Lonchura striata: one gene and its partners. The protein of the gene in region 2 purifies or fractionates together with the protein of the main gene of each other region. This does not show direct contact. Links are inferred from orthologs where the notes say so. Each region holds a gene or a part of one and is shown on either strand. Other genes may lie near its edges. The genes, in order: PRPF6, TSSC4 and ECD.

Region 1 (3,744 bases), on a different chromosome or scaffold from region 2:
TTCACATAACAGAAGAATGTGTTTGATAAGAGTTAGGGCATAAAAAAGGGCATTTTTTTCCAATCTTAGATTATCAACATTACAACAAGAGATCCTTTATCAAATAAGACAGTATTATAGTGTAAAAACAGACATCTCCAAGTGAACTTCAGTCTCTGACCTCCTCTTAATGAGAGGTGAATTTAACAAGTAACACATACTGTTTACAAGCATGAGGTGACTCCTCTAACAATTTCCAATCTACTGTGCAGTCTGTGATGCATCTCCCCACACCATCTTAATGAACTACAGGGACTCTTAATTAACTACAGTGAAGTAATTTAATGGCATCCACTATCAAAGCAAGTGGTGCAAAATACCTGTCATCCTCAATTAACCAGGAAACACCCCCTGCTAGTGCTGTAGCTTATCCTACCTCCTTTCTTTCCTGCGTTCATCCATCCTCTTGTCCAAAGCTGCATAAATAGCATCTGCTTCTTCATCATCTTTTTCATAGGGGCCACTTGAGAACAGGCTCCCAGCATAGCCATTGAACTGGAAATTGGAGAGAGAGGGGAAAAAAAAGAGGAAAAAAAGGCAGGTTTTTTAAGTTCCTGTTATGTTTCTGCAACAACAATCACCTGAAAATGCATTCACAGGCTGCTTCTGACAACATTGCATCAGATTAACACATCCCTAAATAAAAGCATCCTCCAGAAGGATAAATAAACACCATCCCATGGTGGTGTTTATTCTCCCACACCATTTGAAGCAAAACTGCTACAAAATTGCTTCTTTCTCTAAACCACTTCTATTCAGCAATAAATGAGATCCCAGGATAGAAGAGCCATTCTCTTCCTTTAACCACTTTCTACACCAGTGAAAGCAAGCAGAAATAGTATCACAACATTCAACCAACCAAAGTGGGACTTAAGAGACTATACAGGCCACTTAATGACAATATATGGCACAGAATCGGAGTCATTTAGGTTGGAAAAGACCTCCAAGATCATCAAGTCCAATCTTGTCAAAGCACATCAGCTTTCATTTGTGAAGAATAAAAAAAAAAAACCTGAAATACTTAAACTAATTTTTATTTATAGATATTTTCCAAAAACTCTCAGGGCTCTGCATCAGCAATTAAACCACAATCCATGGAGCAAGGCCACAACAAGAATCTGTAAGCACCATGCCACTGTGCATACTGAGGTCTCAATCAATAAATAAAAAAGGAAATGCTGCCTGCAAACTACGGGAAACTCTGGGTTTGAAGCCTCAGCTAGGAGCAGGGCTCATAGCAAGAGCAGAAGAGCTCAAGGACTCTTCTTCCACCTGGGGAAAAACAGCTGCAGGATGATGAAAACCTCCTCACCTCGTCGTAGTTGGTGTCATTCAAATCCTCATCATCATCATCTGCGGTCTGGTTCTTCTTCATCTGGTCGCCCACGGTTCTCTTGCCCGGCGGGGCGTGCCGGTCGTCCACGGGGTCGTTGGCATCGCGGGCAGGGCCGATGTCAGAGCGCGTGGTGAAGCCCGTGGCTCTGCAGGGATAAACCTGCTCAGCTCACTGCTACCCCAGCCTGCCACAGCCACTGCTCAGGGCAGGCAGGGAAAACATCATTCCTTTGGGAGAACGGCATCAGGCGCTCCTCGTGACCAGCTTTCGTAAAGCCAGAGGGAAAACAGCCTTGGAATCATGGAATGGTTTGGGTTGGAAGGAGCTCACCCCGTTCCAACCTCCTGCCATGGGCAGGAGCACCTTCCACTAATTGCTCCAAGCCCCATCCAACCTCGGACACTTCCAGGGGTGGGGCAGCCACAGCTTCTCTAGGCACCCTTTTATAGGGAGAACTTTTCCCACAAATACACTGCAACCACCCAGCTCACAGCACTGCCACCCATCCCATGCACAGCCCCTTTCTGAATTCTGTCTCTGGATCTCTCAGCTGACCCTGCAGGCTGTGGGGCACCACAGGCTGGGGATCAGGGCAAAGGCAGCTGGAGCTGAACCCCCACACTGGCCCGGCAGCACCCCGAGGGGCACAGCCAGCAGGATCTCCCCAGGGAAGGCAATAGGAAATCAGGGGGGATGAACACAACTCACACCCAGCAAACAACACCCTAAAAATTATCTCAGCCACCACCAAACTCCCTCATTGTTCCATCAATAAAAGCCCCCAGGTTTGATCGTTTTTCAGACGCTCCCACCCGCACACAGTCACAGAATCAGGAGGGACACAATCCTTTGCCGGTCTGAAGCACCCGGGAACTCATCCTGGGAGCCAGGCTGGCTTTTTAACACAACCCCGCCCAGCCAGAGAGTGAACGGGAGCCATCAGGAAGGGACAACACTGAAAAGCCGCGCGGGCCACCCCGAGGGGACGGGGACGAGCGGCGCACGGAGGTGTGACCCAGCCGGGCCGCGAAAGGGCTCGGGAGAGCCCCGAGGCCCGGCGGAGCGACCGGGCTGTGAAGGGACCGGCGGGGCGGGGGGGGCCAGGCCAGGCCTGGCGGCGTCTCACCCGCGGCCCAGCCCCGGCACGTAGCCCAGGGGCGCGGGCATGCCCAGGAACGGCTTCTTCTTCTTGTTCATGACGGCGGTGGCGGCGAAGCGACAGCGAGGCGAGAGCGGGGCGGGAGCGGAGCAGAGCCGGGAGAGGCGGCCGGGAAAGCGGCGGCGGAAGTGGCGCCGCGAGGCCGGAGCGGCACTTCCGCTCCCGCCGGAGCAGCGCCCCCTGGCGGCGCGGAGGGCTGAGGCGCGCTGAGGGCGATGAGGGTGGCGGGGACGAAGGGCGTGGGGGTTGTGAAAAACCGCCAACCGCCTGGTTTTTAACATTTTTTTAACAGTTTAATAATAATAAAATGGTTGTAAAAATAGCAATACAATTAGAGGAATAAGGTTTAGAGTTAGGACAATTACAAGACAATAAAAAGCAAAGAATTACGGACGTCCGGCTGCTCTGGGACACTCAGTCATGAGAAGCATACCTTGTGAACAAAGGAATCCCCCTTAAACCAATACACTTGTTGTATATTCATATATCCTTCATGGTTATGCATACATTCTATTTAAAACAAGACCTCTGTCCGTTGTATGTCAACTGTTTCCTTTAATCCCCAAGGCGTCTTCGAGTCTGAGCAAGGCCTGAAGAAATTAGCTTCTTCTGATCAGAAAACCATAAATTCCTTTTCTCTGGAAGATTTAGGTGTTCCTCGAAGCAAGCATCTCATCCCCAAAAAAAAAGTCCCCCCACTTAGGTAGTCTCTATTTTTACATTATGTTGGAACCTAAAACTATATTTAACACACTACTTAAGAGAATTTATACAGCATAACTTTCTAACATTACACATATAATATTAATTGTAATACTTGTGAAAAGCCAATCATAAAACATGCATTTTTCACAGGGACGTTGAGCTCTGCTGTCATGGAGTTTCACATTTATAGCAATTCGTTATTTTTATTGTCATTAGGAAGCTACTAAGGAACATCCCAGGTGGCGTGCGGCCCTGTGAGAAGCAAAGCTGTGTTTAACAACCCCCGGGCAGAATGGGGCAGAAAAGGGGGAAAAAGGGCCAGGATCATCCCAGGAGGGCTGGAGCAGGACAAAGCCTCCATCTGCTCACCCTTGTTTCCCGAGGTGTGAGCTTTGCCTCCCCCCTTTTCCTCCTGCTAATTCCGAGCCAAATTATCTCTGGGAGCAAAAGCTGGATTTCTTCTCATTCCTTCTGAGGGGCCTCTCACTTCCAACTTTATTGTGTG
Region 2 (3,744 bases):
ATCTGAAATCCCCTTCATCTACAGATGGCTCCTCAGGAGATATTGTATCAACTTCTGCTTCACCCACCAGCCCCAAGTCATCAGAGTCAGAATCGCTGAGTGACACCGTGTCTGAGGGCAGAGCTCCTTCGTAGTCTTTGCCACCATCAGCCACTATCCCCAGAAAAGGTTCACCTGCCTCCTGGTCTCCCATCTTCAAGCTGTCACTCCACTGAGGTCTTTGATGTAGGCCCAGGAACAACTCTAAATACGCTTTTCCAAATGCCCAGCAAATTTAGTGCCTAGAATACAAAGGAGCATAAAAACTTAACTGTGAAATGAGAACCAAGAATGAGACCATCACTCTGTGTCATGCAAAGTAATTATAACTGCAATATAACAGTTAGCTGTGCTTTAGGGATTCCCAAGCAATTTTGCTTCAAATGAAAGCATTATTTAAGGAATGAATGCACATTAAAATTAAAGATTTACACAAGACTGAATAGAAGAATATGAAGTAATTGAAAGTAATGCTACCAAATTTCATTACAGGTTGCATCAGATGCAATTACTAAAAGATGAACATAAAGCTCTTGAGTTAATCTGAATCCCTGTCTTGTACATCTTCCAAGACTCTGCATATTACACTGTGTTTACTCACACTGTAAAAATCCACAAAAACACATCCAATTTCTCACACTTGCCTGTGGCCAGTACAACCCTTACTGCATTAGCACTGTACCTGCTGTCCCAACAGCCATCAGTGACAGATGACAAAAATAAAAGGGCCGCTGTTTTAAGCCTGCTTAAATGTGGCATAAAATACAAACTCCACTCCTTCCTTTGGTTTTATTCTCTTAAGTCATTACTAGATTCCAGGAATTGGAAAACCAGCCAGCTCAAGAAATCAATCCCATTGGATTAAGAAATCTAATTACACATACCAGGCTCACACATGGAAACTAGGAGAGATTGCAACCACAGGCCTGCAAGAGCTGGCCCTTCAGTCAGTAAATGACAGCATGATTTGAAGCCTGACTTCCAGGAGCAGCTGGAACACCTGACAGTGCCACCTGCTTGAAGGGAATCTCGCTGAATTCTGGCGGTCGATGACCCAGCTACCACTTGCTGGGCAATTGGAAACAGAGCTGGTGCACACACACATTTTGGTTCAGCTCACGTGAATTATGGAAACAGTTCTAACATATTATTAGAATAAGCTTGACTACCTAATTATAGGCTCTTCTGTAACGATGCAGTAAACAGACATGGACAGTCTGTTAGTCACTCACTTTCTCTTGAGACTGAGTCAGCTTTCCCTCCTGAGGGTCAGTTAAAGCCACCAAAGATCTCAGCACTTCCACCCTAGAAAATAAACATTTCCATCATGATACTGGAAATGTAGTTTTAAAAATAATTCTGTCCCCCTGAATTATCCAAAGCTGCAGAACTGGGTTCTAAATCTGACACAAACTCATAGTGGTATAAAAGTCTGTAGATATTACTGAATTTTTGGCAGAAGAACAGCACACAGCCTAATAACATAGGCACCAGTATATTTACCCAGCCTTCACATTCACACTGCCAACTTTATCCTGTAGAACAGAAGGGAGGTTTTAAAAAAAATCAAGCTGTAATTTGCATGTGCAAAAGAGTAAATAAACAGTATTAAATGCAGCTAAGATACAAAAATAATAGTTATGCATTGTAAACATTAAGTGCTGCTAAGTATTAAGACCATGGGTAACAGAGACTTTTGTTTTCAAAGAAACGTCACGTTCAAATTTAGGGCCAGATTGTTATGAATCACAAAACACAGAGACCTTTTGAGGAGTGCTATGTTCCATGTCAAGTTTGGCTGTCTTTGACAGAAAGGATCTGATGGCTACTTTTGAAAACACTGCCCTCCATGTAACTCCTAGTGGGAAATAATCTTCTTAAAATGATACAGCCTTCTGCTTAGTTTTGGAACATATGAAAAGTAATGACTACAACTCAGAAAAGGCCTCGAAGTGCACAATTAAATAAAATAGCTGTTTTCAGATGGCAATAGAAGTGATCATCAGGGCCATGTCTTGTCTGAGGGCACTTACACAGAAAGGAGAAATTCTGCTCCTAAGGAGATGTTTTGGCCTTAACAAAGTTGGTGGCCAAACATGCCGGCCCTTACAGCACACCAGACCCACTCACAGGTGTGTTACGGTGACGCGATCACAGCACGACTCGGGCAGCATGACGTCCCTCCGGATGGGAACGATCCCAGCGGGCTCCTCCATCCTGGCGCTGCTCTGTGCGGAGGACGGAGACCTCAGACACCGCAAACCGCGACCACGGGCCGCGCCAAAGCCCACACAGCCCCTCGGGACGGGGATCCGCAGGCCCCCGCGCCGAGGAACAGCGAAGAGGAACAGGGAAAAGAGCACCGGCCGCTGGGCACGGTGATGGTGCGGCCCCGGCTGTGCTGCCCGTCCCGGCCCCAGAGCGCTTCGCGGCCCGGGATGCTGCTGGATGCGAACCGCCCGCCCCACACGCGGCCCTCGCTGGCCCTGCGCCCCGGCCACCGCCACCCGCCCGGGCACGCAGCGCGAACCGCCGGGGAGGCGAAGGGAGGGGGGAATGGAAGGGGGAGCCCCCGTACCCCGACACCGCACAGCCCCACACTTCCACAGCAGCCGCCCGCCTTGCCCACCTCCGCCCACGGCCCGCGGCGCGCCGGGACACCGAGTCCCTCTGCCCTGCTCCACGGGGCGGCCACGGCGGCGGCAGGACTACAGCTCCCGGCGGGCAGCGCGGCGCGGAAAGGGCCGGCGCCTCCCCGCCCCGCCTCTCTCGGGGCTGCTGGGAGTTGTAGGCGGCCGTCTCGCCTCGGCGGAGGACATTTTGCGAGCCGGGGAGCGGGGCGAGGCGGCGCTGCGCGGCGGGACTACAGCTCCCAGGGCGCACCGCGGCGCCGACATTTCGCAGCCTGTGCGGGCCCTGCTCGGGGCCCGGGGCCCGGTGCTCGGTGCGGGGCTCGGTGCGGAGCTCGGTGCGGGGCTCGGTGCGGGGCTCGGTGCGGGGCTCGCCCGTGCACCCCGGAGAGCCGCGGGGCCGCCCCGGCGCCGTGAGGGGCGGACACGGCACCGCCGCCGCCTTCCGCAGTCGCAGTCTAGAAAAAAACCCATGTCACAGCTTTTGTTCTCATCGGAACAGCAGGGCTTGGCCACCACGAACACATCCGAAGTTTTCTGTTTGCTTTGTTTGGTTTCTTTTTTTGTTGTTGTTGTTGTTGTTTTTCCTCTCTCTTACGTGTTTATTCTCAAACCAGAAAACCCGAAGTCACTTGAGGCATAAAACCACTATCCATCCAAATAAAAAAGTTTCCATTTTCCGTCCCAGAGGAACATTTTTTGCGCGTGTGTCAAGAAGTGGGGCTCTGTCTGAAAATGTTTTATTGGCGCCGGCCAAAGAGACTAGATTTTTGTTTTTCCCCTTATTTCAGCAAAAAAAGTTGAAATTTTCAGCGCAAATACATTTCCCAAGAGGCTTCACTATTCAGCTTGTTTTCCCTGTGTTTAGGAAAAGGTTTGCTGTGCTGGAAAGGATTGTGCCAGACAATGCTGTGGCTGCAGGAGCTTCACTGGCTCCCTTCAAGCTCTGCCTCGCCGTGACTCACACATAATATAAACTGCAGTCACTTCATGTGCATCCTTCGTTTTTAAATACATACTTTTGCCTGCTGGAGTGTTGCTAATTACAGTAATTTATGACACGAGGTCTGTGTTT
Region 3 (3,744 bases), on a different chromosome or scaffold from region 2:
CAACCATCCATACCCAGGTGAAGGTGTCTGCTCATTATTTCGCCTGTACCAGACAAAGCCTGTGTCCTTACAGAGACAGAAACACTCAAACCCTGAGCATTCCCTGCTCTGAGGGCAGCAAATCCTCTTGCCTAAACACTCCTGAACATGGTAAAAAAAAATCATCCAAATGGTTCCAGCAGAGCTAGAAAGTTCAGGTGGATACAGGAGTGCTCCTGAAGGGAGCAACAGTAAGGGACACACAGCACTCTGGATTTTCAGAGGCAGCCAGACCACTTGGCTAGAAGTGCAAGAGAAACTCCAGCTGCTACATAAAAGGCTACTGTGGCCCCCTTGCCAATTGTATACAAGTTTTACTCACCCTGTTTTCACTGTTCTCAGGATTCAGCCACTTTGGGAGAAAATCAGCAGCTTCTATCAAAAGAAACTCTCCATCGTTGTCATCAATCCTGGCCAAGGAGAAATTAGTTTCTTAGCAGGAAAAGCTTTGCAGAGCACAACAACACACTTCTGAATCCATGTCTGCTGAGGATTTTTAATATCCACCATAGACCCCCCATAGAAAGGCTTAGGTTAGAAGGGACCTTGAAGATCATCTGGTTCCAACACCCTTGCCACAGGCAGGCACACCTTCCACTAGCCCAGCCTGCACCAAGCCCTATCCAACCTGCCCTTGGACACCTCAAACATGAATGGGATGGGGAAACAGCTCCAAGGACGGGGAATGTTCAGACAGGACCTTCACAGCATAGGCACTGCCCCTTCGCAGCCCTCCCACTAAAGCACCTCAGCAGGGCCCGCCTTACCTGGCTGCCAGCCCCGGGAACTCCCTGGTGATCTCCCGGAGCAGGTACACAATGAACCACTCATCCTCCACGTTATCCCCAAACACGGTGGTGCCGCCGATGTGCGCCGGGGTCTCGCCTGGACGGGGCACAGAGAGGAGCGGTGGCTCAGCAGCCCCTGCCCAGGAACAGATTGTCCACACAGGCTGCGGAGTCTCCCTCCCTGGGGATACTCCAGACCCTGCTGAGCAATCTTGAGTCCTGTGCTCTGCGATGACGCTGCTGCAGCGGGGAGGTGGCACCAGATTCCTCACTGGGTTAACCCTGCCGTGACACTGAGAGGAGTCTGTGGAGCCGCCGCGTCCTCCCTCACTCGCTCCCGGTTCCCCTCACTCGCTCCTGATTCCCTTCACTCGCTCCCGGTTCCCCCTCACTCGCTCCCGGTTCCTCCCACACGCTCCCAGCTCCCCTCACTCGCTCCCGGTTCTCCTCATCGCTCCCGGTTCCCCTCACTCGCTCCCGGCTCCCTTCATTCGCTCCCAGCTCCCTTCACTCGCTCCCGGCTCCCCCTCACTCACTCCCGGCTCCCTTCACTCGCTCCCGGTTCCACTCACCGCCTCCCGGCTCCCTTCACTCGCTCCCGGCTCCCCTCACTCGCTCCCGGCTCCCCTCACTCGCTCCCGGCTCCCTTCACTCGCTCCCGGCTCCCCCTCACTCGCTCCCGGTTCTCCTCACTCGCTCCCGGCTCCCTTCACTCGCTCCCGGCTCCCCTCACTCGCTCCCGGTTCCCCTCACTCGCTCCCGATTCCCCCTCACACGCTCCCGGTCCCCCTCACTCGCTCCCGGTTCCCCTCACTCGCTCCCGGTTCCCCTCACTCGCTCCCGGTTCCCCTCACTCGCTCCCGGTTCTCCTCACTCGCTCCCGGCTCCCCTCACTCACTCCCGGTTCCCCCTCACTCGCTCCCGGTTCCCCTCACTCGCTCCCGGTTCCCCTCACTCGCTCCCGGTCCCCCCTCACTCGCTCCCGGCTCCCCTCACTCACTCCCGGTTCCCCCTCACTCGCTCCCGGTTCCCCCTCACTCGCTCCCCTTCCCCGGCCGTCGGGTCCGCCTCACACGCTCTCGGTTCCTGGCCACCGTATCCCCCTCACATGCCCGCAGTTCCCCTCACACGCTCCCGGTTAGATCCCGGCGGATTCCCCTCACACGCCGTCGGTTCCCGACCTCCGGGAGCCCCTCACACTCCCGCAGTTCCCCTCACACGCTCCCGGTTCCCGGGTCCCCCTCCCAGTGCCGCCGCTCCGGGCGCTCCTCCCGCCGCGCCTCCCGGCCCGCTCCCGGCTCACCGCGGCGCGGCACGTAGCGCAGGCGGAACGGCTGCCGCTGCCACACGTAGGCGGCCAGGAGCGGGGCGAAGCGCAGCAGGGCCAGCTCAGCGCAGCGCCGCAGCAGCGCCTCGCCGCCCGGGCCCGCCGCCGCCGCCGCGAACAGGCGGTAGCGCACCGCGTCCTCGGGCAGCGCCGGCCGCCGCAGCGCCTCCATCGCGCCGCGGCCGCGCTCCGCCCCCGGCGAGCAGCGGCGCGATGGCGGCGGCGGGGCGGCGGCGCTGAGGATGATATCGCGATACGCGCGGAAACCGGTGCTGGCGTGAGTGGCTGCCGCTCCCCCGGGGCCCGGCACGGCCCCGAGCCCCATCGCGGTCCCGGTCGCGATCCCCCCGGCCCCGCTCCCGGGCCTGCCGCCCGCGCTCCCCGCTGCGCCAAGCAGGGCCCTGTGACGGCCCGGTCACCCCATGTCCCCGGCGGCAGATGGCTCCCGGGGTTCCCGAGCAGCGGTCTCGAGCAGACACCGGTGTGACAGAACGCGATTAAATCCCTGTAACTGGCTTTTTTTCTCCTGACCCAAGGATTTAGTCAGTTCTGACTTACTCGGCTCGTTTACTCTTGTTCTATTTAATTCAACTCAATTAATCTACAAGGATAATGGCGTTGTCTCTGCTTTTAGGGAGCTGTAGGCCAGTTCACAGCATGTTAGGTTTAAGTTGAACTGATTTTGAAGCAAGACCTTTAACTCCATATTTATCCTAGAGTTAGTTTTCACACCTTAAACCTAGAGCTTTGGTGACAAGAATTAGCTTTGTAATAGTCATAAATGTGTGCACAGTCCTTGAAAAGAAGGAAAGAGAAACCTATAAAACTTACTGGGAACTCGGTCAATGTTTATTCTTGTAAGTTGTGCCAAGTCCCAGTGCTGTTTTTTCAGACAAGGACTCCCAAAACATGCCCTGAGGCATCACCCACTGCCAGAGCCAGGGGCTCAGGTGTGCTCAGCCACACCCACGGCTGAACACCTCGCCCAGACCTCCAGGTACTTGTCCTGATACCTCTGATCCAGCTGTTCTGATCCAGCTGGGCTTTGTTTACTGACACACTCGATCTCTCATTGTTTATTGTCCGCTGTTTTGCTTTCTTTTTGGTTTTGCTTTTGGCTCGACGTGCGCGTTTCAGGGAGTCGGGAATCCATAAGGGATCGGATGATCATGGGGATCCACGGACTGCTAGTCAGGGTTGGGCTGACACCTCCACAGAAGACAGCTCAGTCTTCTCCTGGGGCTATGACGTGAGTAGAACATAATCATCCAAGCCAAATCGAGCACAGAAAGACACTTGAAATACCACTGCAAAGACATGTTAGAACAAAAATGATTGGATCTGTCAAAAAATCATGGTAGTGATTATAGAAAGAATACCTTTTTTACTGCTTTCCATCTTTCAGTTTAAAACACACTAGGCTCATACTATTCTGTTAATATTCTGCATTTCCACTAAAAATGTTGGAAATGTAAATCATTTAGTGCATAATTGTATCTATAAATGCTGTTCCTGTGGAACCCCAGCCATGGCTGGATGACTTTGAGATACTTGGCGTGCGTTTATCAAACTTCTGCATCCTTGCATGTT

The links.
Region 1: the proteins of TSSC4 (region 2) and PRPF6 purify together in Homo sapiens (affinity purification with mass spectrometry; 3 studies listed by BioGRID and IntAct, counting the BioPlex papers as one, with this or other methods). This does not show direct contact. The link is inferred for Lonchura striata from reciprocal best matches to the Homo sapiens genes TSSC4 and PRPF6.
Region 3: the proteins of TSSC4 (region 2) and ECD purify together in Homo sapiens (affinity purification with mass spectrometry; 3 studies listed by BioGRID and IntAct, counting the BioPlex papers as one, with this or other methods). This does not show direct contact. The link is inferred for Lonchura striata from reciprocal best matches to the Homo sapiens genes TSSC4 and ECD.

Annotation. Positions count from the first base shown.
Region 1 is NC_134619.1:6,854,835-6,858,578, forward strand, and holds the start of PRPF6 (pre-mRNA-processing factor 6), read right to left. Parts: upstream 2,691-3,744; 5' UTR 2,573-2,690; coding exon 2,502-2,572; intron 1,521-2,501; coding exon 1,352-1,520; intron 535-1,351; coding exon 416-534; intron 1-415. UniProt on the Homo sapiens protein: Involved in pre-mRNA splicing as component of the U4/U6-U5 tri-snRNP complex, one of the building blocks of the spliceosome.
Region 2 is NC_134608.1:47,080,900-47,084,643, reverse strand, and holds the start of TSSC4 (U5 small nuclear ribonucleoprotein TSSC4), read right to left. Parts: upstream 2,797-3,744; 5' UTR 2,669-2,796; exon of another isoform or gene 2,618-2,668; intron 2,268-2,617; exon of another isoform or gene 2,073-2,267; intron 1,345-2,072; exon of another isoform or gene 1,272-1,344; intron 282-1,271; 5' UTR 194-281; coding exon 1-193. UniProt on the Homo sapiens protein: Protein associated with the U5 snRNP, during its maturation and its post-splicing recycling and which is required for spliceosomal tri-snRNP complex assembly in the nucleus.
Region 3 is NC_134609.1:37,290,284-37,294,027, forward strand, and holds the start of ECD (protein ecdysoneless homolog), read right to left. Parts: upstream 2,327-3,744; coding exon 2,131-2,326; intron 925-2,130; coding exon 807-924; intron 450-806; coding exon 362-449; intron 1-361. Other genes in the region: primary cilium assembly protein FAM149B1, read left to right, coding at 3,000-3,151, 3,292-3,403. UniProt on the Homo sapiens protein: Regulator of p53/TP53 stability and function. Inhibits MDM2-mediated degradation of p53/TP53 possibly by cooperating in part with TXNIP. May be involved transcriptional regulation. In vitro has intrinsic transactivation activity enhanced by EP300.